Linked DNA regions of Mus musculus. The protein of the gene in region 1 interacts with the protein of each later gene in a biochemical or structural test. Links are inferred from orthologs where the notes say so. Each region holds a gene or a part of one and is shown in the gene's direction. Other genes may lie near its edges.

What was found.
Region 2: of the proteins of Irak1 (region 1) and Peli1, one has a biochemical effect on the other in vitro, tested with the Homo sapiens proteins (5 studies listed by BioGRID and IntAct, with this or other methods). The link is inferred for Mus musculus from reciprocal best matches to the Homo sapiens genes IRAK1 and PELI1.
Region 3: of the proteins of Irak1 (region 1) and Irak4, one has a biochemical effect on the other in vitro, tested with the Homo sapiens proteins (2 studies listed by BioGRID). The link is inferred for Mus musculus from reciprocal best matches to the Homo sapiens genes IRAK1 and IRAK4.
Region 4: the proteins of Irak1 (region 1) and Irf7 form a complex in vitro, tested with the Homo sapiens proteins (2 studies listed by BioGRID, with this or other methods). The link is inferred for Mus musculus from reciprocal best matches to the Homo sapiens genes IRAK1 and IRF7.
Region 5: the proteins of Irak1 (region 1) and Ikbkg form a complex in vitro, tested with the Homo sapiens proteins (3 studies listed by BioGRID). The link is inferred for Mus musculus from reciprocal best matches to the Homo sapiens genes IRAK1 and IKBKG.

The regions. Positions count from the first base shown.
Region 1 is NC_000086.7:74,020,820-74,025,893, reverse strand, and holds the start of Irak1 (interleukin-1 receptor-associated kinase 1), read left to right. Parts: upstream 1-1,972; 5' UTR 1,973-2,148; coding exon 2,149-2,284; intron 2,285-2,295; exon of another isoform or gene 2,296-2,360; coding exon 2,361-2,528; intron 2,529-2,696; coding exon 2,697-2,828; intron 2,829-2,941; coding exon 2,942-3,045; intron 3,046-3,229; coding exon 3,230-3,421; intron 3,422-3,644; coding exon 3,645-3,709; intron 3,710-3,930; coding exon 3,931-4,045; intron 4,046-4,832; coding exon 4,833-4,951; intron 4,952-5,074.
Region 2 is NC_000077.6:21,139,181-21,143,608, forward strand, and holds part of Peli1 (E3 ubiquitin-protein ligase pellino homolog 1), read left to right. Parts: intron 1-1,383; coding exon 1,384-1,513; intron 1,514-3,375; coding exon 3,376-3,477; intron 3,478-4,428. UniProt on the Homo sapiens protein: E3 ubiquitin ligase catalyzing the covalent attachment of ubiquitin moieties onto substrate proteins. Involved in the TLR and IL-1 signaling pathways via interaction with the complex containing IRAK kinases and TRAF6.
Region 3 is NC_000081.6:94,560,428-94,564,855, forward strand, and holds part of Irak4 (interleukin-1 receptor-associated kinase 4), read left to right. Parts: intron 1-1,018; coding exon 1,019-1,202; intron 1,203-2,590; coding exon 2,591-2,653; intron 2,654-4,428.
Region 4 is NC_000073.6:141,263,088-141,268,119, reverse strand, and holds Irf7 (interferon regulatory factor 7), read left to right. Parts: upstream 1-1,695; 5' UTR 1,696-1,730; intron 1,731-2,075; 5' UTR 2,076-2,483; coding exon 2,484-2,497; intron 2,498-2,580; coding exon 2,581-2,743; intron 2,744-2,828; coding exon 2,829-3,045; intron 3,046-3,336; coding exon 3,337-3,395; intron 3,396-3,464; coding exon 3,465-3,627; intron 3,628-3,804; coding exon 3,805-3,897; intron 3,898-4,071; coding exon 4,072-4,461; intron 4,462-4,545; coding exon 4,546-4,664; intron 4,665-4,739; coding exon 4,740-4,895; 3' UTR 4,896-4,937; downstream 4,938-5,032.
Region 5 is NC_000086.7:74,446,362-74,450,789, forward strand, and holds part of Ikbkg (NF-kappa-B essential modulator), read left to right. Parts: intron 1-1,497; coding exon 1,498-1,559; intron 1,560-1,855; coding exon 1,856-1,998; 3' UTR 1,999-4,428. UniProt on the Homo sapiens protein: Regulatory subunit of the IKK core complex which phosphorylates inhibitors of NF-kappa-B thus leading to the dissociation of the inhibitor/NF-kappa-B complex and ultimately the degradation of the inhibitor.

The DNA.
Region 1 (5,074 bases):
GTTAACCTCTTGGGTTGTTTTGGTTTTAGTCAGGGTCCAACTTCTACTCTAGGCTGGCCTGGAACTGAGTATGTAGGGTGATCTGCCTCAGCCTCCCAAGTGCTGGAATTACAGATATGAGCCACCATGCCAAGCTTTGTTTTATAATAAGGTCTCACTGTGTAGCTCTGGCTGACCTGGAACTATGCATTGTAAACCAAGCTGCCCTTGAAATTTTAGTTATCTTCCTACCTCTGATTCTAGAGTTCTGGGATTACAGGTATGCACCACCACATCTAGTTTGACCTCATCTTGAGAGTGGCCACAATTACTGTGGCTTCAAAGAAGAGGCCCCAGTGGGAGCCAGCCATGGATCTTGTGTAGACCTTTCTGAAGACATACTATAAGTTCCTTAGAGGTCAGGCTAGTGAGAGAGAACCCTTTGTAGTTAGGATTGATATGACAAAAAGTGTTTGTTGGGGAAACTGGTCAGGAGAAGAAAGCTGCCGCTTTACAAGCATGCTTTCAGCTGGCCAAACAAGGAATACCAAGTTGCTGCCTGTGGATCATCCCTGGGCAGTGAGAAGTGAGAAAAGTTTAGAGGTACAGAACTCCAGCAAGCTCAAGGTGTGTTCAAGAGAGGAGCTGGGTTTAGGAAGTTTTCCCCACAGCTGTTTATGTTCAATCTTATCAGGAATGGCTACAGCAGGGGTGTATATGCAAACTCAATTTCAGAACAGAATAAGTTCTTTTCAGGACACCTACTAAACAGGGTTTGGGTTTTTTGTTTGTTTTGTTTTTTGTTTGTTTGTTTTTTTCAGGTTTGGTCTTGATCTGAGGTAGGGTTGCACTTTGTATCCCTGGCTGACCTGGAACTTAAACCATGCTAACCTCAAATTCACAGAGATTCACTTGCCTTTGTTTTCTGGGTGCAGGAATTAAAGGGGTGTACCACCAAGCCCAACATCTAAAGAGTTCTATCTGGCTTAAGGCTGTTGGTGTATATAAGTTCAGGTGGGTGGACAGAGGCTGGCTATGCCATCTTCCTAACAGCTCTTTTAAAGAGCTGGGCTTTAGTGATTTGTACTTGAGGAAGACCACCTGAGCAGGGAGCACTATCCAAGCCATACAGTCTGTGCAGGTGAGTGGCAATGGCTAATGCTAAGAGTAGTGCACTCATATGAAGAGGACTTCAGAGAGCATAATGAGAAAGTAGTGTGCGCTGAGATGTGTGTCATAGTGACCAAAAAGGCCAAAGAAAACCCTGAATGGAGAACAGTAGAGGAATAGGCAAGAGACACTCATTCATGTGGCTAAAGGTCACAACAGGTGGTATCACCAACAACTACTCTAGAAAGGGGTAGGAGAAGCTGCTAGACCCTACTATCCTTATGGAGAGAAGTGCAAACTAAGATAAAAGTGTGACAGAAAAAGGAAAGGGACATTTAGAGCCGAACACCATGTGTATGTTAAGAGACATAAATGTGTTAGTTGGAAAGCTAATTAGAATCCTGCACAGGCAGATTCTGTGATCTAACACTTGCTGGCCCAGCTGCTGGAAGGTTCCTGGGGGCGTGGTGGGGGCATGGAGATCTAGCACACAAGCAGTAGCATGGTATACACTCTTCCAGACCATTCTCAGGGCATCCATCCTTATCACCAAATGACTACAGTCTGCCAGAGGGCCATTTTGTTACCCATATTTAACCCTGACTGACCAACAATTTGGCTGGCTCTCAAACTGCTCCCCAACTAAAGCGAGGGTAGCCTCTCCGTGACTTTCACCAGGCTTGGCATAAACTGCCTTTGTAGAACATCGTGTAAAAACATCGTGCCCTTTGTCTCTAGAACTGGAAGTCATTCTTCATCCTGTTCAGCCCTATTCAGATGTTTGTGTAGGACCACAGACCTCGGTTCTCCCATTAGGGACTCCCTCCTACGTAGCAGAGCTCCTTCCCCGCGTCAAGGGCGGCGCGGGACGCCCCCGTGTGGCGGAAGGCCGCGGAGGGCAAGATGGCGGCGGGTCGAGCGCCGCCTCTTCCGCCCGGCCGGGTGTCGCACGAGGCCGGCCTGAAGGGGAAGTGAGTCAGTGTCCGCGGACCCGGCCCGCTAAGGCCCGCGCCCGCCGAGGCCCCGAGAGGCCTCGGCCCGGGGGCGGCGGCGGCGGCCATGGCCGGGGGGCCGGGCCCCGGGGAGCCTGTGGTTCCAGGCGCCCAGCACTTCTTGTACGAGGTGCCACCCTGGGTTATGTGCCGCTTCTACAAAGTGATGGACGCCCTGGAGCCCGCCGACTGGTGCCAGTTCGGTGGGTGACGGCAGGCCGGCGTGGGGTGGTGGACTCAGGCTTCTGGAGCTGAAGCCTGATGTTCCCCATCCCGCAGCGGCCTTGATCGTGCGCGACCAGACAGAGCTGCGGCTGTGCGAGCGCTCCGAGCAGCGCACAGCCAGTGTTCTGTGGCCCTGGATCAACCGCAACGCGCGCGTAGCTGACCTCGTTCACATCCTCACGCACCTGCAGCTGCTGCGTGCGAGGGACATCATCACAGCCTGTGAGCGAGCATAGCCCCAGGGACCCTAGGGATGGGAACCCAAGAGGGGTGACGGGTACAGAGTTTCCTGAGACAGGGAACCATATGGGAACTCCCCCCCCCCCACCCCTTCACTTAGAGATAGAGAGCTCTGAGTCACAACCCTCCTTTCCTTCCTTGTTATCCCAGGGCACCCTCCTGCCCCCGTTGTGCCCCCAAGCACCGCTGCCCCAAGGCCCAGCAGCATCTCTGCAGGCTCTGAGGCCGGGGACTGGAGCCCCCGGAAATTGCAGTCCTCTGCCTCCACCTTCCTCTCCCCAGGTAAAAAGAACCCGGGTGTTGGGCTTGATATGCCTGAGGAAAAGGCCACCATGACTGCTGACATGGCTGTAGACTGCTGCTGGTCTCTGCCTCTCACTGCCATCTTTATGAAGCTTTTCCAGGCTCCCAGACCCATTCTGAGTCAGAGCTCCTCCAGGTTCCACTCCCTGTTTCCCTCGGGCCACCACTACCATCTTCAGCCCCTTCCTCCACCAAGGTAGGTGTCTCTTAACCCCCAGGGAATTTTCCAGACAAAGAGGAAGAAACTTAACCTTTGGTGTACCACAGAGCCCAAATCAGCACAGCCAGGTCATCTGAGAGACAACTAGTGTTGAAGGGAGCTTTCAACCTGGACCAAAGGGAATAGATAGGGTCCTCGCCTGGTCCATGGTCTCTTCCAGCAGTCAAGCCCAGAGAGCCCAGTGTCTGGCCTCCAAAGAGCCCATCCCTCCCCGTTTTGCTGGCCCTTCTGTGAGATTTCCCAAGGCACCTGCAACTTCTCTGAAGAACTCAGGATTGGAGAGGGTGGTTTTGGATGTGTGTACCGAGCAGTCATGAGAAATACTACATATGCTGTGAAGAGACTGAAGGAGGTAGGTGTAACATTGGGGTAGACACCTGGAAGACAATCTATCAGTCCTTATTTGTCTAGTTCCTCCCTCCATCAGCCCCTCACTTCTGCAGTCTCCAGCCTCCCCAAGCAATTCCTTCAAGGACCCCAAGCCTTCCATAGATTTGGGCCTGGAAACAACTGGCAAGCTTGGCTCATGTCACCTACTTTCCCTACCTCTTACCCCACCATGCCTGGGGCTACAGGAAGCTGACCTAGAGTGGACTATGGTGAAACAGAGCTTCTTAACAGAGGTGGAACAGCTATCAAGGTGAGCCTTGGGGGTCCCTCCTGTCTAGGGGCACAAGGTGAGCCACACCACGGCCTCATCAGTCTTTAGGACTGCACAACACAAGATCTGGCTCCCTTGGGCCCTCAAGGCCTGGCCTGGCATGGGTGAGGGAACATCAAGTGCTGCCTACCTAGCCTGGCCTGATGAAAAGTAGTAGAACCCAGAAAATTAAAGAACTCAGACTCCACTCTTTATAACAGGTTTCGTCACCCAAATATCGTAGACTTTGCTGGCTACTGTGCAGAGAGTGGCTTATACTGCCTTGTTTATGGCTTCTTGCCCAATGGCTCCTTGGAGGATCAGCTCCACCTTCAGGTAGTCCTTGCTGATCTGGCACCTTTATTGGCATAGCCCCTTAGCCTGTGTCAGGCAGGACTTGGGCTTCTGGCTCCCCCTCAAACTCAAGATTTGGCCCAGGGTTTTCTTTCTTCCTTTTTACTGGCTTGATTGTTTGAGACAATACCTCACTACCCAGCTCAGGCTAGCCTCAAGCTGGCAATTCTTCTGCGTCAGCCTGCTCTATGCTAGAGTTACATTACACTCAGCTTGGCCCAAGATTTTCCATACAATTCTTTCCTCTGTCCTCTCCCCACTGTTCCTCTATTGGGAGTTATTGGCTTTGCAAGCAGAGTAGCTAAAGGATTTAGTATTTAGTCCACATATAGCTCTTGAGGAATGAGGACCAGTGGAGACAGGCTGTCAGACTGAACCCAAGCTTGAGCCATGCCTGAATGTCATACTCACAAGCCACCACATATACAGGATAAGAGCTTCCTTCTCAAACTGTTTTGAGAGAGGAGAGGGAGAAGGGCACCAGCACTTTCTGTTAGGTAGAGCTGAGCCCATCACATTTTGTCTTGAGTCCTGTGAAATGTTCCTAGCTGGTATCCCAGCTGTAGAGTGCTTGCCAAAACCTTCGGTATAGCTTTAGCTACCACTTGCTCGTGAATTAGGTCATAGACAGTCTTACTCCTCATTCTCCAGAGGCTCAGAATAAAGCTTGCCCCAAGCCGCACAGTGACAGGTGAGGGGAATTTGGGGGGGGGGGGTCAAAGAACAGCTGCCCTGAGCTGCCTCTGTGCTTCTGTCTTTGTCACTCCAGACCCAGGCCTGCTCCCCACTTTCCTGGCCTCAACGACTGGACATTCTTCTGGGCACAGCCCGGGCTATTCAGTTTTTACATCAGGATAGCCCCAGCCTTATCCATGGAGACATCAAGAGGTGAGGAGGGGCTCAGAAGAGCTATAGAAAGTCATATGGCCAGGGAGACAGTGACCCTCTGCTCAATGAACAGCTCTGTTCTGAGTGTCCCTGTGATATTCTTCCTGCCCAGTCCTGTGAATA
Region 2 (4,428 bases), on another chromosome or scaffold:
CAGCTTTGAAATATGATTCTTTTTCCTTGTTAATTACTATTTCAGGCCATTTTGTAATCACCTCCATCATCCTCAAATCCTTCCCTATTTTCTACTTCATTTCTGCTCAGATAGAGCAGCTATATTTGAGAGGGTAAAGATTTTCATTAGGGTGAAGAAACAGTGAACAAGGAGTATTATTGTTGAATTGCTGCTTACGTCTCAAGGGAGCAGTAGGAATGGCACACATACAGCCCCAAGGACATGGTGTTCTACTTAATTTTCTATTGCTGTAGTCATATACTGGCCAAACTGACTTGTGGCAGAAAGGGTTTGTTCCACTTATACTTTATAGTCCATTATCACAGGAAGCCAGGGAAGGAGCTCAAAGCAGGAACTGTAGCAGAGACTGTGGAGGAATGCTACTTACTGGCTTGCTCAGCTTGCTTTCTTACATAACCTAGGACCACTTGCCCATGGGTAGTACCACCTGTACTGGGCTGGACCCTGCTGTATCAATAATCAATAATTAATGCCGCTCATACTGTCTTCTGAACACCCACAACAGACTATACTCCATTTCCCTCAAATGCCTCTACACAGTCAGTCTGATGGAGGCAGTTCTTCCCTGAGACACCCTCCTCCCAGGTGACTCAGCTTATGTCATATGTAGCAGTCATACATGGATTCATATTCTGGTTTGCCAGTGTCATTCTGGGACTTGAGAAAACTAATTGCTGTATGCCTGTTTAACCTAGCAGGTTTTGTTTGTTTTTGCTTTTGAGTGTAGGGTTAATTGACGTAGAGTTCAGTGCTTCCTGGGTGTGTGATACATGCCCAGATGTTTAAGTTTGTTTTCACTTTTCCGCACTTGTTTTATATGTCTTACTTGCTTGCCATGAGATTAACATGTGCTCTAGAGAAATGATTGGAAGAGTGAAGCAGCAGATGTAGATGTAACATAGTTGGAATAAAACTCAGTTGGATAGGAGCTGACAACACACCAGTGCTCTATTCAGGTAGTTAGGACTTTACAAGGCCAGACACTGCTTGTTTCAGAAGTTGAGCATTATGGTGTTGGGTTCACAATTAAAGGAGAATCTGTTTCAATTACTGCTGCAAAAAAATATACCTTAAAATATATCACAATATTTCTGTTACTCAGTTCTTGCTTATATAGATAACTTAAAGCTGTGTACAATACTTCTATGTGGTTCAAAACATAGCCAGACAGATCCTCATTTTGATTCAGACCCATGCAGCTGTTCTGGAGATGAGCAGTTGCTAGAAGGAATCTGCGGTCATCAAGGATTGAATGTACGTGGAGGCAAACAATAACTTTGCTTCATAGTAGTGTGATCCTTACAAGAGACCAGCTAAACTTTTTTTTTCCTTTCTTATCAGATATAATGGATCTCTCCCAAACGGTGATAGAGGAAGGAGGAAAAGTAGGTTTGCTTTGTTTAAAAGACCTAAGGCAAATGGGGTGAAGCCTAGCACCGTGCACATTGCATGTACTCCTCAGGCTGCCAAGGTAAGATAAAGTTGTAAAGAAGTTAACTTGGAAAGTTGAAATATTTTTATGTGTGGTCTGCAGTGCTTCACATTTCTGTTTTGAATTGATGGTATTTGAAAAGCTGCCATATGGAATTCCGCATTAAAAATGACAGACCAGAGGCAGGTAGAAATCAAAAGAAAATATCTTGATTCTCTAAGGCTGTCTGAGTTCTCTGGGTTTATTTTCTTCTTGGCATATGACATGCTTATGTTTTGCCCCACCTCCATGTGCAATGGGAGCACATTTTCAGCAGTGCCCACAGTGTAACTTCTCACCCTCGAGGCCTTGTCAGCCCTCCCAGCCCACTTCATTTCCTCACCAAGTTTTAGAGGCCAGGTGAGGAAATGTAACCGTAAGTTTAAAAGTAGTCAGTGTAAAAGTAGAGGAAGTTTTCAGTCCTCATTTTGCCTTGGAATTTCTCTTTCCAGTTTATAGCACAGACTGAATTAATTCAGTAATGTGGGGTCCAGATAAGAACAATTACAGAGTTCCTTGACTTCTAGAAGTTGTACATAAGCATTACATCATCTATGTTAGGTCCTTGTTAGGTTAAATAAATGAGCTGCATTAGAACTGGTAAATTGAAGTTGATTAGATTTCAGCCTTGTTTTATATCAAAGTTAGATATCAAGCCTTGATTTGGCTGCTCGTTGATTACTGTTTGAGAGCCGAAGAGTCTGTAGAAGGGCTGGTCTTCTAACCTGTTTCCTCCTGTTCCTTTGTAGAGAAGGCGTGTGTTCAGTAGACGCTGCAGCTCAGTCTGGGCTGCTCTGTAGTATTTGCGCATCTGGAATGTACCACATCTTCATTGTGCAGAACTGTCCCATGCATTACAAGATACTGAAATTCTTGGGTCCCGTGTACTAAAAGTCATTTAATCACTGCCATTATTGTTACAGTCAAACGCATTTAAGTATTTTCAAATGCCTCTTAGGTGTTTAATCTGGTCTCTGGTTGAGGACCACTGGCAAGGAGATGTTTATAATCTACCTCTAAAATACTTTCTCATTTTGTGTGTGCACATGCATGTATGTGTATGCAGCGAATGCGCCACCATGTCCGGCTGAAAAATAATTTTTTAATATTAGAATTTCAAAAGGCCTTACCTATTTTACAGATTACCTAAAAAGCAAAAACAAACATTTCCCCTTTTTACTATGTGTAGTTACTCTTGTATCTTTTTATCTGTTTTCCTCTTATAAAACCTTCTTTGTGCAATAACTAGGTTTTCCCCTTCTGATATTATCTTCAACTCATTAACATATGAAAACGAAGCTGAGCACTTCTTTTAGGAGAGCAGTTCAGCTTAGGATAAGTCAAAAATATGGCCATCAGAAATACATCTATTTCTTCTTGTAATGTTTAATCATCCTGTAGATTTTTCTGTATCTGATCTGGAATATGATAAAACTTGTCATCTGTAGGATTAGAAAAATGAACTCATAATTCTAGCTTAACTGTATATATAAATTTTTATGTCACTTTAAAAAAATTTTTTTCTTGCAAGATTTTGAATTTTTTCCTTATCAGAGATGGATGTTGGTTTTAGTTTCCATGTGGTATTTGATATTAATTCCCTTAGAATTTAAAGTGCTTTTAAGAGAAACACAGATTCTTAAGAAGCTTAAATTTATGTTTTTGTTCCATGACTATTAAAAAATATTCCCTCAACCTGAGGAAACCACAATTGAAGTTATATAGAGTTTCTTGCCTGTACCCAAAATTCCAGCGTGTGTGTGTGTGTGTGTGAGACAGAGAGAACATTTTACCTTCTTTAATGAAGATATTTTTCTGATTTAATGACTGCTAATATTTGCTGTTAACCCTTTCATTCATAGGCAATAAGCAACAAGGACCAGCATAGCATATCATATACTTTATCTCGAGCCCAGACGGTGGTGGTTGAATATACTCATGACAGCAACACTGATATGTTTCAGGTACTATAACATTATTGTTTTTTTTTCTTTAAAAAAGTTAAAAATCTGTTGTTGGTGACTTTGCTATGACTAGATTAAATATTATGCTTTCATGCTGTATGTTTAAAATATGTATTGATTTTTTTAACCTCATTTAAATGTCATTACAGTGTGGTTTAAAGATGGGCTCTGAAGTTAAGAGCACTTGCTGCTCTTGCAGAGGACTCGGGTTCCCAGCACCCTCATTAGGTGGCTCATAACTGCCTGGGACTCCAGTTCTAGGGAATCTGATATCTCTTCTGGCCTCCAAGAGCACTAGGCTCACCCATGGTGCACATATATGCATACAGGCACTCATACGTACACATGAAATAAAAAGAAAATAAAGAAGAGGGGGAAGGGACCGAGGGACCTAAACTCCTGGTAAACATTTAGCTACTCTGTGCCCCCATGTCCTCCTCTGCAGAGTGCAGAGGGTAGTCTCTCCCTCGGACCCCTGGGGGGGGGGTGGCGGGAGGGGGCACTACCTCCTACCTTCCTCTCTGAGCAACAAAAATTACAGATAATTTTCTAACTATTGACATCAGTAGTAGGGATTTGGTTTTCAGCACACGTCTGGGCAGAGCTACTATGTACTGGCTAGTTTTGTGTCAACTTGACACAGCTGGAGTTATCACAGAAAAAGGAGCTTCAGTTGAGGAAATACCTCCATGAGATCCAACTGTAAGGCATTTTCTCAATTAGTGATCAAGGGGGAAAGGCCCTGCTTGAATTCCAGTCCTGACTTCCTTGGTGATAAACAGCAGTATGGAAGTATAAGCCGAATAAACCCTTTCCTCCCCAACTTGCTTCTTGGTCATGATGTTTGTGCAGGAATAGAAACCATGACTAAAACAAATTGGTACCAGCATAGTAGGGTATTCCTGTGACAACCTGACCATGTTTTGGGGATGACTCTGGAAGGACTTTGGA
Region 3 (4,428 bases), on another chromosome or scaffold:
ATATGTCATTTAGGAAATATATAAATGTGTGTGTGTGTATGTGTGTGTGTGTGTGTGTGTACACATCCCAGGGATTTTGAAGGAAGGACAGGAGAAAGATTGCAGTGGTTTGGTTCGAATTTTGTTCCTAAACGTACGGAGAAATGTTAGGAGAGGAGTTAAGAAATTACCTGAGACTCATCTCACCCTGACACAGAAAGACAAATATCACATGTTCCCACTTATTTCTAGAAACCTGTCTCAGGGAACTTGGGAATACAAGAGTGTTGGATACAAGGCAAGGAGGTCAGGAGAGGAGACAGAGACATCATTAAACAAGGCCGAGCCATGGCTTCTGCATCCTCCTCAGCTCAGTAGAACTATAGGCTCAGACGGCCTGTGTAGCTGTGAGAACACAGACTCCCAGCACATACAAACGGCCGGTGACATGTAGAGGCTGACATGTTCCAAGTCCCATGGGACTCTTACACACTGTGGGCCAGACTGGACCACCACGGTGTACTGCATAAGACGTCCATATACCCCAGTGGGTGCTTTTGACTTAGGAATATCTCTCAGTAGAAAAGCCACTGCCTAGCTTCAGTGAACTGTGGGGTACTTGGTCACCGGACCCACTAAAAAAAAAATTTTTTTTAAGAGAAAGTGCCACTCGGAAGGCTTTGTGTGTTGTTACTAGTAAATAGCTATCAGTGTCATGCTGAAAATGCACCTCCCTTAAGAGGAAATTTTATTATGTCTTTATTCCCTTCAACATCTCCCAAGATAAGAAAGGAGAACAATTATTTTTCTCTTGCTGTCATCTGAATAATTGACTGATTTGAATATATTTCAGTCTTCTCTACTGCACATATAAAATGACACACAATGTGACATGTGCGTATATAATATATAATATATAGTATGTAGAATGCATGATATATATATATATATATCACATTATATACCTCTTCCTAAGAACCTGTTGGATATCCTAGGCAAGAAGCATGTTTTCCACCTTCAAATTTAATTTGTTTTCCAGTGCAAATATCTTACTAGACAAAGACTTTACTGCCAAAATATCTGACTTTGGGCTTGCACGGGCTTCGGCAAGGCTAGCGCAGACGGTCATGACCAGCCGAATCGTGGGCACAACGGCTTACATGGCACCCGAAGCTTTGCGGGGAGAAATAACACCCAAATCTGACATCTACAGCTTCGGCGTGGTACGTGATCGCTGTCTTTATTGTTTTGCGCGTATTTTATAGTGTGTGTGTACGTGCACATGCCACGGCATATGCATGCCAAGAGCCGGAGGGAGGGTAGCTTTCGGGAGCCAGTTCTCTCCTTCCACCATGTTGGTTCCAGAGGTCAGATGCAGGTCGCCAGGCTTGGTGGCAGGAGCCTTTACTTTGCTAAGCCATCCTGCCAACCAATGATCATTCTTTTTAAACTGTGATTTAAATTAGAATATTTTGGTGCATGAGTCTTTTTTTCCTCTCCTATGATGTAGTCTCCCCTCCCCCAGCCTGAAACCTGCTTGCTCAGGGGTGGAGCTTCCCGCTCAATCTTTCTGCCACGCCCACTGCTGGAACCTGCCGCTTTGCTGGTCCGAAGCCATCCCGTGATCACCCTGCTACTGGACTCCAAGATTATTTGGCGGGAATTGGGCCCCTCCCCCTTCCTTTATAACGGAGTGCCGAAATAGTAAAAATTGAACCTTGAGCAGAGAGCTTTGTCTTGGTTCCTTCCTTATCTCGCGCAGCCCAGCCCCTCTTCTCTTCCAGGTTTCCAAAATGCCTTTCCAGGCTAGAACCCAGGTTGTGATCTACTGGCCAGACACAACACTATATAAATATATAAACTATTCACACTAGCCTCTGGTGACACCAGAAGGTTTATGAGTGATTCCCAATATGTAAAATGTTTGAGTTGATTTCTTTTTTAATGACTGCAAGAAAATACTGTCTCATCGTGAATCCAAACGAACCTTAAGCTGAGCCCGCGCACAAACTCAATCACGTCACCTAACGTGGATCTCTTTTCTCTTCCCTTTTCTGTCATTTTATCATCTAACAACCAGAGGCAAAGAATGTGGGGTAAGATTAATGAGGCTTTGTCTTCATCTTTGTTCTCCAAATAGATTTCATTTGTGGGAACTTTACCCCACCTAATATTAAGGCATGGGGTTGTAGAATGTGGCTACTGGTTAGAAAATATGATTCTCCCCAGGGCCCTGTAAGACATAGAGCATGCCGGGCATGGTGGCGCATGCCTTTAATCCCAGCTCTCAGCAGGCAGAGGCAGGCAGATTTCTGAGTTCGAGGCCAGCCTGGTCTATAAAGTGAGTTCCAGGACAGCCAGGGCTACACAGAGAAACCCTGTCTCGAAAAAAAAAAAAAAAAAAAAAAAGCATAGAGCACAGAGATCCCAGAACAGATGTTGAGTAGAGTTTCTTTGGTCCTCATATCCCATCAATATCAGTGCTCCAGGCCACTGGTTAGCCCAAGAAAGCCTAGCTTAGCAGGTTTAAGTCCCTGGACTCAGTCCACATGCCCTTTAATCTCTGCTGATGTCTCCAGTGTTTTGCTAATGGGTCCCTTTGCCTTCCTAGGTTCTGTTGGAGCTGATAACCGGGCTGGCGGCTGTGGATGAAAACCGTGAACCTCAACTACTGGTTAGTAAGTCCTTTTTTCCTGCCTGCTCCTCTCCTGCCTTTATGGTCTTAGATGCACGTGGGTAACTCCGGCACACAGGAATGGCATTTTCTGACAGAATACTGGCTCCGTGAACTGACACACTGACAGCGCGTGCTGTATTTCCAACCTTGGGTTTGCTGGGCTGCATTTGTGAAGCCTAAAAAGGTCATTCATGCAGTCTTTGTCCCAGTGTCTTTGTGGGCAAAGGGAGACGAAAGCTGTAGTTTATTGCTTTCCAGTTTATTACAATCTGTAGTGTATGGGCCCTGGGTGGTGAGACTACCTTTAAGTCATGAGAGGGGGAAAAAAAACATAGCTTCTGTTTGTATCTGCATATGAATATAAATGCCAGTAGAAGCTCTTTATTTCACTGTGGAGAGTTTGACTCGCAGAGTTAAAACACTCCCCTCCTGCACTACCATTTCCCACTTCTAATTTGTACACTGAACATTCGATTGATAATTTGTAAGTAGATGAGTTAAATGGTAAGTAAACTACAGATAAATTATGCTATGTCACATTATATATGTCTTTAAAAATATCTAAAGATACATATCATATATAAATGTTTCTCAAAATTAACAACTGTATTCCTTTTATTCTAATTTATTCACAGGCCCTAATAGAGCAGAAGAGTATGAACAATTCAGACAGTAGATATATATACTAGATCGTGTCCCAGAATTAGGGTAGACCATCAGAAGGTTTGACTTCCTTGTTCAGTCTTGGCACCAGAGCTGAAGAGATGGCTCAGCCGCCAGGAGCCCACAGGGTTTTCCCCGAGGCCACAGTTTAGTTCCCAGCACACATGTTAGGTGTCATGCCACTGCCTGTCACCCCAGCTCCAGGGGCGGAAACCCGTGACCTCCCCAGGCACCTGCACACTTGTGCACATGCCCACATAAAGACACACACAGATACAAACGGACAATTAAAATAGGACTTCGAAATGACAGCCAAAGTCTTAGTGTGAACACTAATCTGAGTAAACTGTAGTATGTGAGTCTGTTACCAATGTCCACCATAAAGCAAAGACGTCCATGGTCTGCTGGAAATGTAATGTTAAAATCATGTATGTAATATATATACATTGGAAGATATTTATGAATATTCTCATGGGATTCAAATTTTTTTAAATGGCAAATCAAAAAGTTAAGTATTACATAAACCAGAAATATAAAATTCGGGCTGGTGAGATGGCTCAGTGAGTAAGAGCACCGACTGCTCTTCCGAAGGTCCAGAGTTCAAATCCCAGCAACCACATGGTGGTTCACAACCATCTGTAATGAGATCTGATGCCCTCTTCTGGAGTGTCTGAAGACAGCTACAGTGTCTAGAATAAATAAATCTTAAAAAAAAAAAAGAAATATAAAATTCTCTGTCCCATTCATTGCTGGGGGTCAAGAGAGAAGCCTGAACCGGAGATGTTCATGATTGACCTATTCATTATAAGGACATAGATAAAGTTCGGGATGGGGACTAGATTAAGACCATAAACATGGGAAATGCAGAGGCCAGTGAGATGTTCAGTGCATAAACGTGCTACCAACTAGCCTGAGGTCAATCTTTTGACCTGAGAACTGATTCTTTCAAGTTGTCCTCTGACCTCCCACCCATCCCCAAATGAATAAATAAATGTAAAATTGTTTTCTTATAGGAAGTATTTAGAGGTGTGGGCTCGTTGGTAGAACTCTTGCCCGGCTTGCACAAGGCCCTCCACTGGATCCTGAATACCAAAAAAGCAAAACAAACA
Region 4 (5,032 bases), on another chromosome or scaffold:
CCCTTCCTCCTTTTCCGTCTTCTCAGTATCCCTCTGAGTTTAACTAGTTTCTATTTAAATGTTTTGTTTGGTTTTGGTGTTTTTAAATTTTTACTTTTATGTGTATCAGTGTATGATCTACATGCATGTCTATGTGACAGTGTCAAATTTTGGAGTTACAGTTGTGAGCTGCCATGTGGGTGCTGGATTTGAACCCCTGTTGTCTAGGAAGAGCAGTTCGTGCCCCTAACCACTAAGCTATTTCTTAGTTCTAGCTTCTTGACCCAGCTGGAACAAGGACAATTTAATCACTGAATAAAGGACACCCCCTTCCCTAAAGGTCTACCCACTGCAATAAGAAGCTTCTTTGGCCAGGTATGGTGGGTGGCGCACGCCTTTAACCCCAGCACTTGGGAGGCAGAGGCACGTGGATTTCTGAGTTTGAGGCCAGCCTGGTCTACAGAGTGAGTTCCAGGACAGCCAGGGCTACACAGAGAAACCCTGTCTCAAAAAACAAAAACAAAACAAAACAAAACAAAAGATTCTCTGAAGAAGGATGGACACAACCCTTGACTGTGGAGATATATTATATATATTTAGTTGTGTGCCAGAAGAGGGCATCAGGTCCCATTAAAAATGGTTGTGAGCCACCGTATGGTTGCTGGGAATTGAACTGAGGACTTCTGGAAGAGCAGCCAGGGCTCTTAACTATTGAGCTGCCTCTTCAGCTTCCAGGGTCTTACTCTATAACACAGGTTGGCCTCAATCCTTCTGCTTCAACCTCTGTCCAGATGGTATATTCTTCCCAGATGGTATACTTTTGTTGTTGTTGTTGTTGTTTTTTGTTTGTTTGTTTTTTGAGACAGGGTTTCTCTGTGTAGCCCTGGCTGTCCTGGAATTCACTTTGTAGACCAGGCTGGCCTCGAACTCAGAAATCTGCCTGCCTCTGCCTCCCAAGTGCTGGGATTAAAGGCGTGCACCACCATGCCCAGTTTACTTTTTTTTTCAGATTTATTTATTTATTATATGTAAGTACACTGTAGCTGTCTTCAGACACACCAGAAGAAGGAGTCAGATCTTGTTACGGATGGTTGTGAGCCACCTTGTGGTTGCTGGGATTTGAACTCAGGACCTTCAGAAGTGCAGTCGTGCTCTGACCTGCTGAGCCATCTCACCAGCCCCCAGATGGTATATTCTTATCTGTACCATTCTCAGTGTTAAGCCAAATTGTACCATAGTCTCTCTTTAGACTCCACTTTCTAAGATTTTTTTCAGCCAGCTAAACAAAACAAATAAACAAACAAAACCTACTGACTGTTGTGGGTATCCCTGCCTTGTCCCAATGTGCTTTCCTGAAGAGGTCCTGGGGAAAGACCTTTCCCACACTTCCACCAGGGGCTGAGCCTGGCAGATAGACCTCCACCTACTTACTATTCTTACTGTCCTCCAAGACATGGCTGTTCTGTCCAAAGCAGGGTCAGCCTCTCTCATTGAATCTACAAAGAGCCTGGAAGACTGAATCTGAGAGAGTGATCAGTGAAGGGCAGTGAAGAGAAGCTGGGGGGTGGGGGGGGAACAGGAGGGAAGGATTTGCAATTGAGTGCTACAAACTAGTGACACCCTAGTGACGTCTGGAGCCCTTAAGCCACACCCTGCCTGGGCTCTGCCCCGCCTCTGCCCGAAGTACTATAAAAGCACTGGCACCCTCCTTTTCACTGAGATAAAACCCGTCCCGGCGGCTCCGGTACCAGGTATGTGGGACTCTTGGGCCACTCGGGGAGGGAGGTGAGCTAGTGCCACAGGGGAAATTCTTGTCCCCTCTACAGAGTAGTGAGTGATCAGTGAAGGGCAGTGAAGAGAAGCTCGGGGGAAACAGGAGGGCAGACGTCCCGGCAGGATTTGCAATTGGGTCTGCAGGGATTGGGATCTGAGTAAGGGTCGGGTGTAGTTTGAGGACTGCACTGGTAGGCATGGAGACAGTGGAGACAGCGGGAAGCCAGCAGCTACCGGGCGCTGTTTAGACTGTTTAGGTTTCATTTTCCTGAGATGCAGTTTCGTTTTACTCGTCTGGGCCCGCCCCTTTTGTGTCTTCGCAGGGTCCAGCCTGTGACAGCCCATCCAGGCTCGGACGCTGGATTAACACCTGTGACATCACGTGTGCGCTCCCGCTACATCTGTAGTCACATCTACAGCCACCTTGGCAGAGGAATCTACACTGAGTTCTGAACCTAGGTGACCACAAGTTCTCAAACCTCATCTGTGACCCTCAACACCCTAATACCTGGGTCACACTTGTGAAACTGAAATTCCTACCTGTTACCAACACTTGTAACGTTTAAAACACATTTGTGAAACTTGGTCACACTATCTGTGGCTACAACCTAAAACCATAGAGGCACCCAAGGGGCCTTATTTGCAATAGCTGACTGCTCCAGTGACTACAAGGCATCACAGAGTAGTAGCATCTACTTTGATTCTCCCAGACTGCCTGTGTAGACGGAGCAATGGCTGAAGTGAGGTGAGAACATGTCTACCCTGGTTGTATTGGGTCCTGTGTCCCTTACATTAGCCCTAACCCCAGCGTGGCTGCTCTGCCTGCAGGGGGGTCCAGCGAGTGCTGTTTGGAGACTGGCTATTGGGGGAGGTCAGCAGCGGCCAGTACGAGGGGCTGCAGTGGCTGAACGAGGCTCGCACAGTCTTCCGCGTACCCTGGAAGCATTTCGGTCGTAGGGATCTGGATGAAGAAGATGCACAGATCTTCAAGGTGGTACCCAGTCCTGCCCTCTTTATAATCTGCCAGAACTCCTGGGGGAATCCAGCCTCAACCCATGCTCTCTCCTCTCCTTCAGGCCTGGGCTGTGGCCCGAGGGAGGTGGCCACCTAGTGGAGTTAACCTGCCACCCCCAGAGGCTGAGGCTGCTGAGCGAAGAGAGCGAAGAGGCTGGAAGACCAACTTCCGCTGTGCACTCCACAGCACAGGGCGTTTTATCTTGCGCCAAGACAATTCAGGGGATCCAGTTGATCCGCATAAGGTGTACGAACTTAGCCGGGAGCTTGGATCTACTGGTGAGCAGTGCCACAAACAGGGATGGGCCAGGGAGGTACATGGCCTCTGTCATTTTGGTGGTTTCAATGGTTTGATTTGTGGTTTTTGAAACTAGTTGTAGATTCAGTTCCTCTCCTTCCAAAGTGTGTGTGTGTCGGGGTGGAGGGGGAGTGCACACTTCCTGCTAAGTCAGAGCCTTGGGCTGAGTGAGGTACCTGGTGGTTTGGGAACAGAGGGTATGAGAAATAGAGAACTTTTGGAACTGCTTGGGCATCGTAACCAAATCTCCCCTCCCCACTCCTCTCCCTCAGTGGGCCCAGCCACGGAAAATAGGGAAGAAGTGAGCCTCAGCAATGCTCTGCCCACACAGGTACATCTGGTCCATCCTTCCTAGGTGTGGGGGATCGGCAGGTGCCTACCACTATGCTGTCTATTACAGGGTGTGTCCCCAGGATCATTTCTGGCAAGAGAAAATGCTGGGCTCCAAACCCCAAGCCCTCTGCTTTCTAGTGATGCCGGGGACCTCTTGCTTCAGGTTCTGCAGTACAGCCACATACTGGAATCCGAGTCTGGGGCAGACCCCGTCCCACCACAGGCTCCTGGTGAGAGGCAGTTACTGTTACAGAGCTGGGGCTAAGCTAGAGAACACCCATCTGCCCAAGGCTGTATGAGAGGGAGGACAACAGAGTCCTTGCTGGGAGGAGGAAAGATAAGGATGTTAAAATGACAGGGGTGGGAAGCTGGGCTAAGATGGACAGGCAGCTCCAATTTGCCCTCAGGCCAGGAGCAAGACCGTGTTTACGAGGAACCCTATGCAGCATGGCAGGTGGAAGCTGTCCCCAGTCCCAGGCCTCAACAGCCAGCTCTCACCGGTGAGGATCTAGAGCGGAGGCGCTAGCACAGCTTTTCCTAGCCTCCCGGGCAGAATTCTGCCCTACTGCTCCTTCACACCTGCATCTCAGTAGGAGGTGAATGGGTCCTTGGCAGGGGGCATGGGACAAAATGCTCCACCCAAACCTACCACTCACAGCATGGTCTATACACAGAGCGCAGCCTTGGGTTCCTGGATGTGACCATCATGTACAAGGGCCGCACAGTGCTACAGGCAGTGGTGGGGCACCCCAGATGCGTGTTCCTGTACAGCCCCATGGCCCCAGCAGTAAGAACTTCAGAGCCCCAGCCGGTGATCTTTCCCAGTCCTGCTGAGCTCCCAGATCAGAAGCAGCTGCACTACACAGAGACGCTTCTCCAGCATGTGTCTCCCGGCCTTCAGCTGGAGCTTCGAGGACCGTCACTGTGGGCCCTGCGTATGGGCAAGTGCAAGGTGTACTGGGAGGTAGGCAGCCCTATGGGCACTACCGGCCCCTCCACCCCACCCCAGCTGCTGGAGCGCAACCGCCACACCCCCATCTTCGACTTCAGCACTTTCTTCCGAGGTCAGTAAGGTGTCTGGCTGGGGTGCTGTCCTCTGGGGCCTGGAGCCTTTCTTAACCTGCTCACCAGAGCTATCTCCTTAACAGAACTGGAGGAGTTTCGGGCTCGGAGGCGGCAAGGGTCACCACACTACACCATCTACCTGGGTTTTGGGCAAGACTTGTCAGCAGGGAGGCCCAAGGAGAAGACCCTGATCCTGGTGAAGGTAGAGCCTGGGTGGGCCAAGGGAAGGTGTGGGCTGCTAGGTAAGAAAGAGTCTTAACACATGTCCTTTCCACAGCTGGAGCCATGGGTATGCAAGGCATACCTGGAGGGCGTGCAGCGTGAGGGTGTGTCCTCCCTGGACAGCAGCAGTCTCGGCTTGTGCTTGTCTAGCACCAACAGTCTCTACGAAGACATCGAACACTTCCTCATGGACCTGGGTCAGTGGCCTTGACTCAGAATCCCAACTCCCAATAAATAGTTCAAAATCAGTGGAGCCCTGGGTCAGGTCTGCTCCTTGCTGTATAGTGTCTCTAGTGGACCTTGTAGAGTCCCTTGAAAGAAGGTGACCCCCAGTCCCTACACACCAGG
Region 5 (4,428 bases), about 430 kb from region 1:
AATGCTGCTTTCTGGCTTGTCCAGCTTGCTTGCTTGCTTATACAACCTAGGCCCACCTGCCCAGGGGTGGCACCACCTACCATAGGTTGGGCCATCCCACAGCAATTATTAATTGAAGATATGCCTTACAAACTTGCCACAGCTTCTGCTCTCCATGGTGGTTGTCCCATGTTACTGGCATCCAATATGCTAGGGTTTCCACTGCAGCTGAGGGTGCACCTTCTCCTGACCTCTGAAATAGTGCCAAGCCCTTTCTTTAGCTGCTTTCCATGATGCCTTCATATTACTTGGTCCCCTCTCCTGTGTGCTGATCCTGAGGAGATACTCTCTAGATTTTAAAAGATTTCACCTCAGTGATACTGTTTTCTTCTTAATCACAGCTAATTTCTCAGCTTCAGTTAACCAGCATTAGTTGTCCTCCCTCGTAAAGCAAAGGTTTTACTTGAGTTCTGCTGATCTCTTGTTCATCGCACCTGATTCTTCAGCCTCAGCTGACTTCAACTGCAGATTCTTAATTCAAAATACCACACAAATGACGCTGATAGAATCTTTGCTTCCCTCTGAAACTTCATTTGCTTTGGTGTCAGCATTCTTATCTTCCTTGGCTCCCACAGAGCAGCCCGTTAAGCTCTAACCACTTGATGGATAGGAACTTGAGATAGGAACTGAAGTCAAAACCTTGGAAGAACGACTTTTTGGCTTGCTTGCTTTTGCAACCTAAGTGATTGCTTGAGGTGTGGCACTGTCTCTAGGGAACTAGGTCTTCTCTTATCAATGAAGAAAATGCCCCAAAGGCTTGCCTATAGGCCAGTCTAATATACTCAGTTGAGTAAATATCAGATGACTTTGATCAGATGAATCCAGCTTTTGTCAAAATGACAAACAACAACAACAAAAACCTAACCAGTGCAAATGTATCTATCTAAAAACTCAAAATATGACTTTATTTGGTTTAGTATCTTTATATATGTAACTAGTTAATATAAGGTCACATTAGGTTAATTAGTTGACTGTGGTACTTACAGAAGCACCAAATTAAGATAATAGAAGGCTGCCACAAGAAGGCTAAGGCAGACTCTGAGATTCAGCTACAAGCCAAGAAATGCCAAACACTTTGTAAACCACTGGCAGCTAGGGGGTGGGCATGGTAATTCTGCCCAGTCCTCTGACACGTTTATTTGGGGCACTTAGTCATCTGTATCATGCACGTTTTTGTTATTCTAAGTTACTAAGTATGTGGTAGTTTGTAACAAGGTTCTGAGGAAACTAATATAGGGGAACCCAAGGAATAATTCCTAATAAGTACAAAGTTTCCTTTGGGGGATGATAAAATATTCTAAAATTAGGCTGATGATTGGATATGCTGAATAGAGTAAAACCCTCTAACAATACGGTTTAAATTGGGGACTTATATAGTACATGAATTATATCTAAATGAATGTATTTATTCATAAAAAACCCTATAAGCATTGATTGAATGCTTTCTGTTTTCAAAAGGATTGAGGATATGAGGAAGCGGCATGTAGAGACTCCCCAGCCTCCTTTACTCCCTGCTCCAGGTAAGTGAACAAGTGGTAGATGATGGGAGGAGATGCTTAGGGAGGGGAAACATGTGTTGGTTTCTCTGCTGCTCTGCTTTGGGGAGTTCTTGCTGACCTCTCCTGTCAGTAGCCCACATCACTCTGAGGTCAAAGGAAAAATGTGCTGGTGGAGGTGGCTCCCAGCAATGTAGTCAAATATGGTGGTATCAGTAAGTCTCAGCACCTTGTTAGCCCCCCTTTCCATTTGAGGCCTACCTAGGCTGTGCATGAAGTACTTACATAGTTCATCACACTCCTGTGTTCTTTTTTCTCAGCTCACCACTCCTTTCATTTGGCCTTGTCCAACCAGCGGAGGAGCCCTCCTGAAGAACCTCCTGACTTCTGTTGTCCGAAGTGCCAGTATCAGGCTCCTGATATGGACACTCTACAGATACATGTCATGGAGTGCATAGAGTAGGAGCAGCAGATGCAAGGCCACTTGCAGTACTATGTCCTGATCTGTGTGACTTGTGCTTTCCTGTTTTACCTGCATAGTCCACACTTAAGGGCTTGCTTTAGCCCTTTGGTCCCCCATTTAGGGTAGACAGCCCCATTCAGGGCTTTTTTTTTTCTGTGTGCCTGATCCAGTTTGCCTCTGGTGGCTTCTTCCCTCTTCTCCCATAGTCCTAGGGAGTCTAGAATGGAGGCCAGGGGCTCTTAGGGAGCATCCCTTCTCCAAGCAGGTCTGGGTACAGCTTTTCTTCTCTCCAACTGGTACCTTTCTTGCCGGTGAACTGCAGGCTCTCCTCCCAGGGCATGTGGCACTTGGGTCTATAACATGTGTTACCTCTGGTAGACATGTGGAAAGTATTCTGTCCTTTTGTTACTGTAATTAATGGTGTAGTGAAAGTACTTGTACACTGATCTGTGTGTACCTTTAGGACAGATGCTTAGATGTGACATTGGATCCTTGCCCTGGAGGAGGTGGGCAGACCTTTGGATTTTTGCCATCTCTAAGATATACCATTCTTTACTAAAGAATTTGCTTAAGTGTCTTTTTCTGGGGCATGTGGGCCCTTTTTAATTCCTCTGATGTAACTTGGATTTTCATAATTCCTACCCATTTTTCTGTTGGGACATTGCCATTTGTTCTTGGGCTTTGTAGAGCTTTTTGATTATCAGTCAGGTTGGTTTTGACTATTACAGAAGTGCACCCCTTGTTCCACATTGATTGTTAGTGTTTTGGGGCCTAGAAGCTGTTTTATACTCCTACTTACCCATTCTTTACTCCTAGTTTTTTGACTTTGGAATTATGACTGCTTTGTCAACAGAAAGGTATTTCACATGTATGCTTTCCTTTTTCTAGCCCCAGTGTGCTCTTGTTTTTGCCAAGCACATTGTTACCTTCTGTGAATGGTGGTGGCCATAGTTCATCACACTCCTGGAGTTTGTGATCACATGTTCTTCACCAGCCAAAATGTCCTAGGGAACCATTTAGCAGTGACTGACTGATCACAGAAAAGGGAACACTTCACTTGTTTTGCAAGGTTCTAGACATTTTGTGGGACCTTACCGTCATTGGTATTAGACCTGCAGTTCTAGTAAAGGAAAGGAAGTTGTAGTTGAGAAAGCAATAAATATGCCTTGCTCATTCCTTAGGTCTAAATCCTTCCTGCCCTCCTGTAAGCTTTCATGGTTCTGAGTGGTATCTGTGAATCCATCCCGGGGGCTTTTATTTACATGGTTTCTTTCCCATTAAGAGTGAGAAGGCTAAGTAGAATTCAGATTATAAAAAAGGATTTAAAAAGTAATCCTGAGCTGGGGGCTTTCTCGGAATTTTCAGGGGATGCAGAGTAAGTTTTCCATTTCCTAATTCCCAGGTATCTATCAGAAAGATCTTTAGGAAAATGTTAAAGGAACAAACAAGTTCTTTGCTTATGTGTTTTCATTTAAATACCTAATCTATAATTTTCCTTTAGGAATACTATTGGTTTAGGTTGAGTCCAGTTTTGTGGTGGTATATATCACTTTTCTATAGCTGCTTTAAAATTTTTCCTAAACTTGGAAGAGCAAGAACAACAACAACAACAACAACAACAACAAATCACTCTTTCCTGTCTGGAAGCCACATATTAAGTTTTTTCTGGAGGCTGTGAGAATCAATTCCAGGCATTCTCTTAACTTTCAGTGGTTTGTGGTAGTCCTTGGTGTTGCTTGGCTCATAGACCCATCACTCCAGTTTCTGGTTCTAGGGCCTTGTGGTTTCTTCCTCTCTTCTGTCTCATAAGGAAACCATGTTGTGCATGTGGGGTCTATTTGATTAGATTAAGGAGGATCTCCAGTTCAAGACCCTTAACTCATTCCACCTACCAAGATCCTTTCCCCAAATAAAGTCTTGTTCTCACATTATGGGGGTTTGGGCTTATATAACCCGGAGTATGGATATCATCAGAACCTGAGTAAATGCAGCCCAAAGGCAGGGCCTTTAAAGCCTTGTAATTCTGCTAGAGAGACCTGGTCTCTAGGGTGATGACCAGTAGTCTTCAGAGTTTGAAGGCAGACCCTTGTCAGTGCTTGATGCTGTTAGTAGGGTCAGTGGGAATGATTGGGAAAGGCAGGTTGGCTATAGTAGGAGAGAGCTGTTGGGCTGCCTGCAGTGGCTGCATGAGCTTCACGCTTCTTGGATAAACAGAGATGCATAGGTGCATTTCTGACCAGTACTTTATCCTGAAAGGGTCCCAGAAAGCAGGTGTGACCCAGGTTACACAGTAGGAAGCTTGAAAACATGGGCTTCATGCACTGGTCAAGACAAATCTGAGGGTGGCACAAGGTAATGGTTGGGACCTAGTACCCTTCTAGAAGGTGGGAGCCCTTGCCACCGACTTACCCTGCAGTATGGTGTATGATT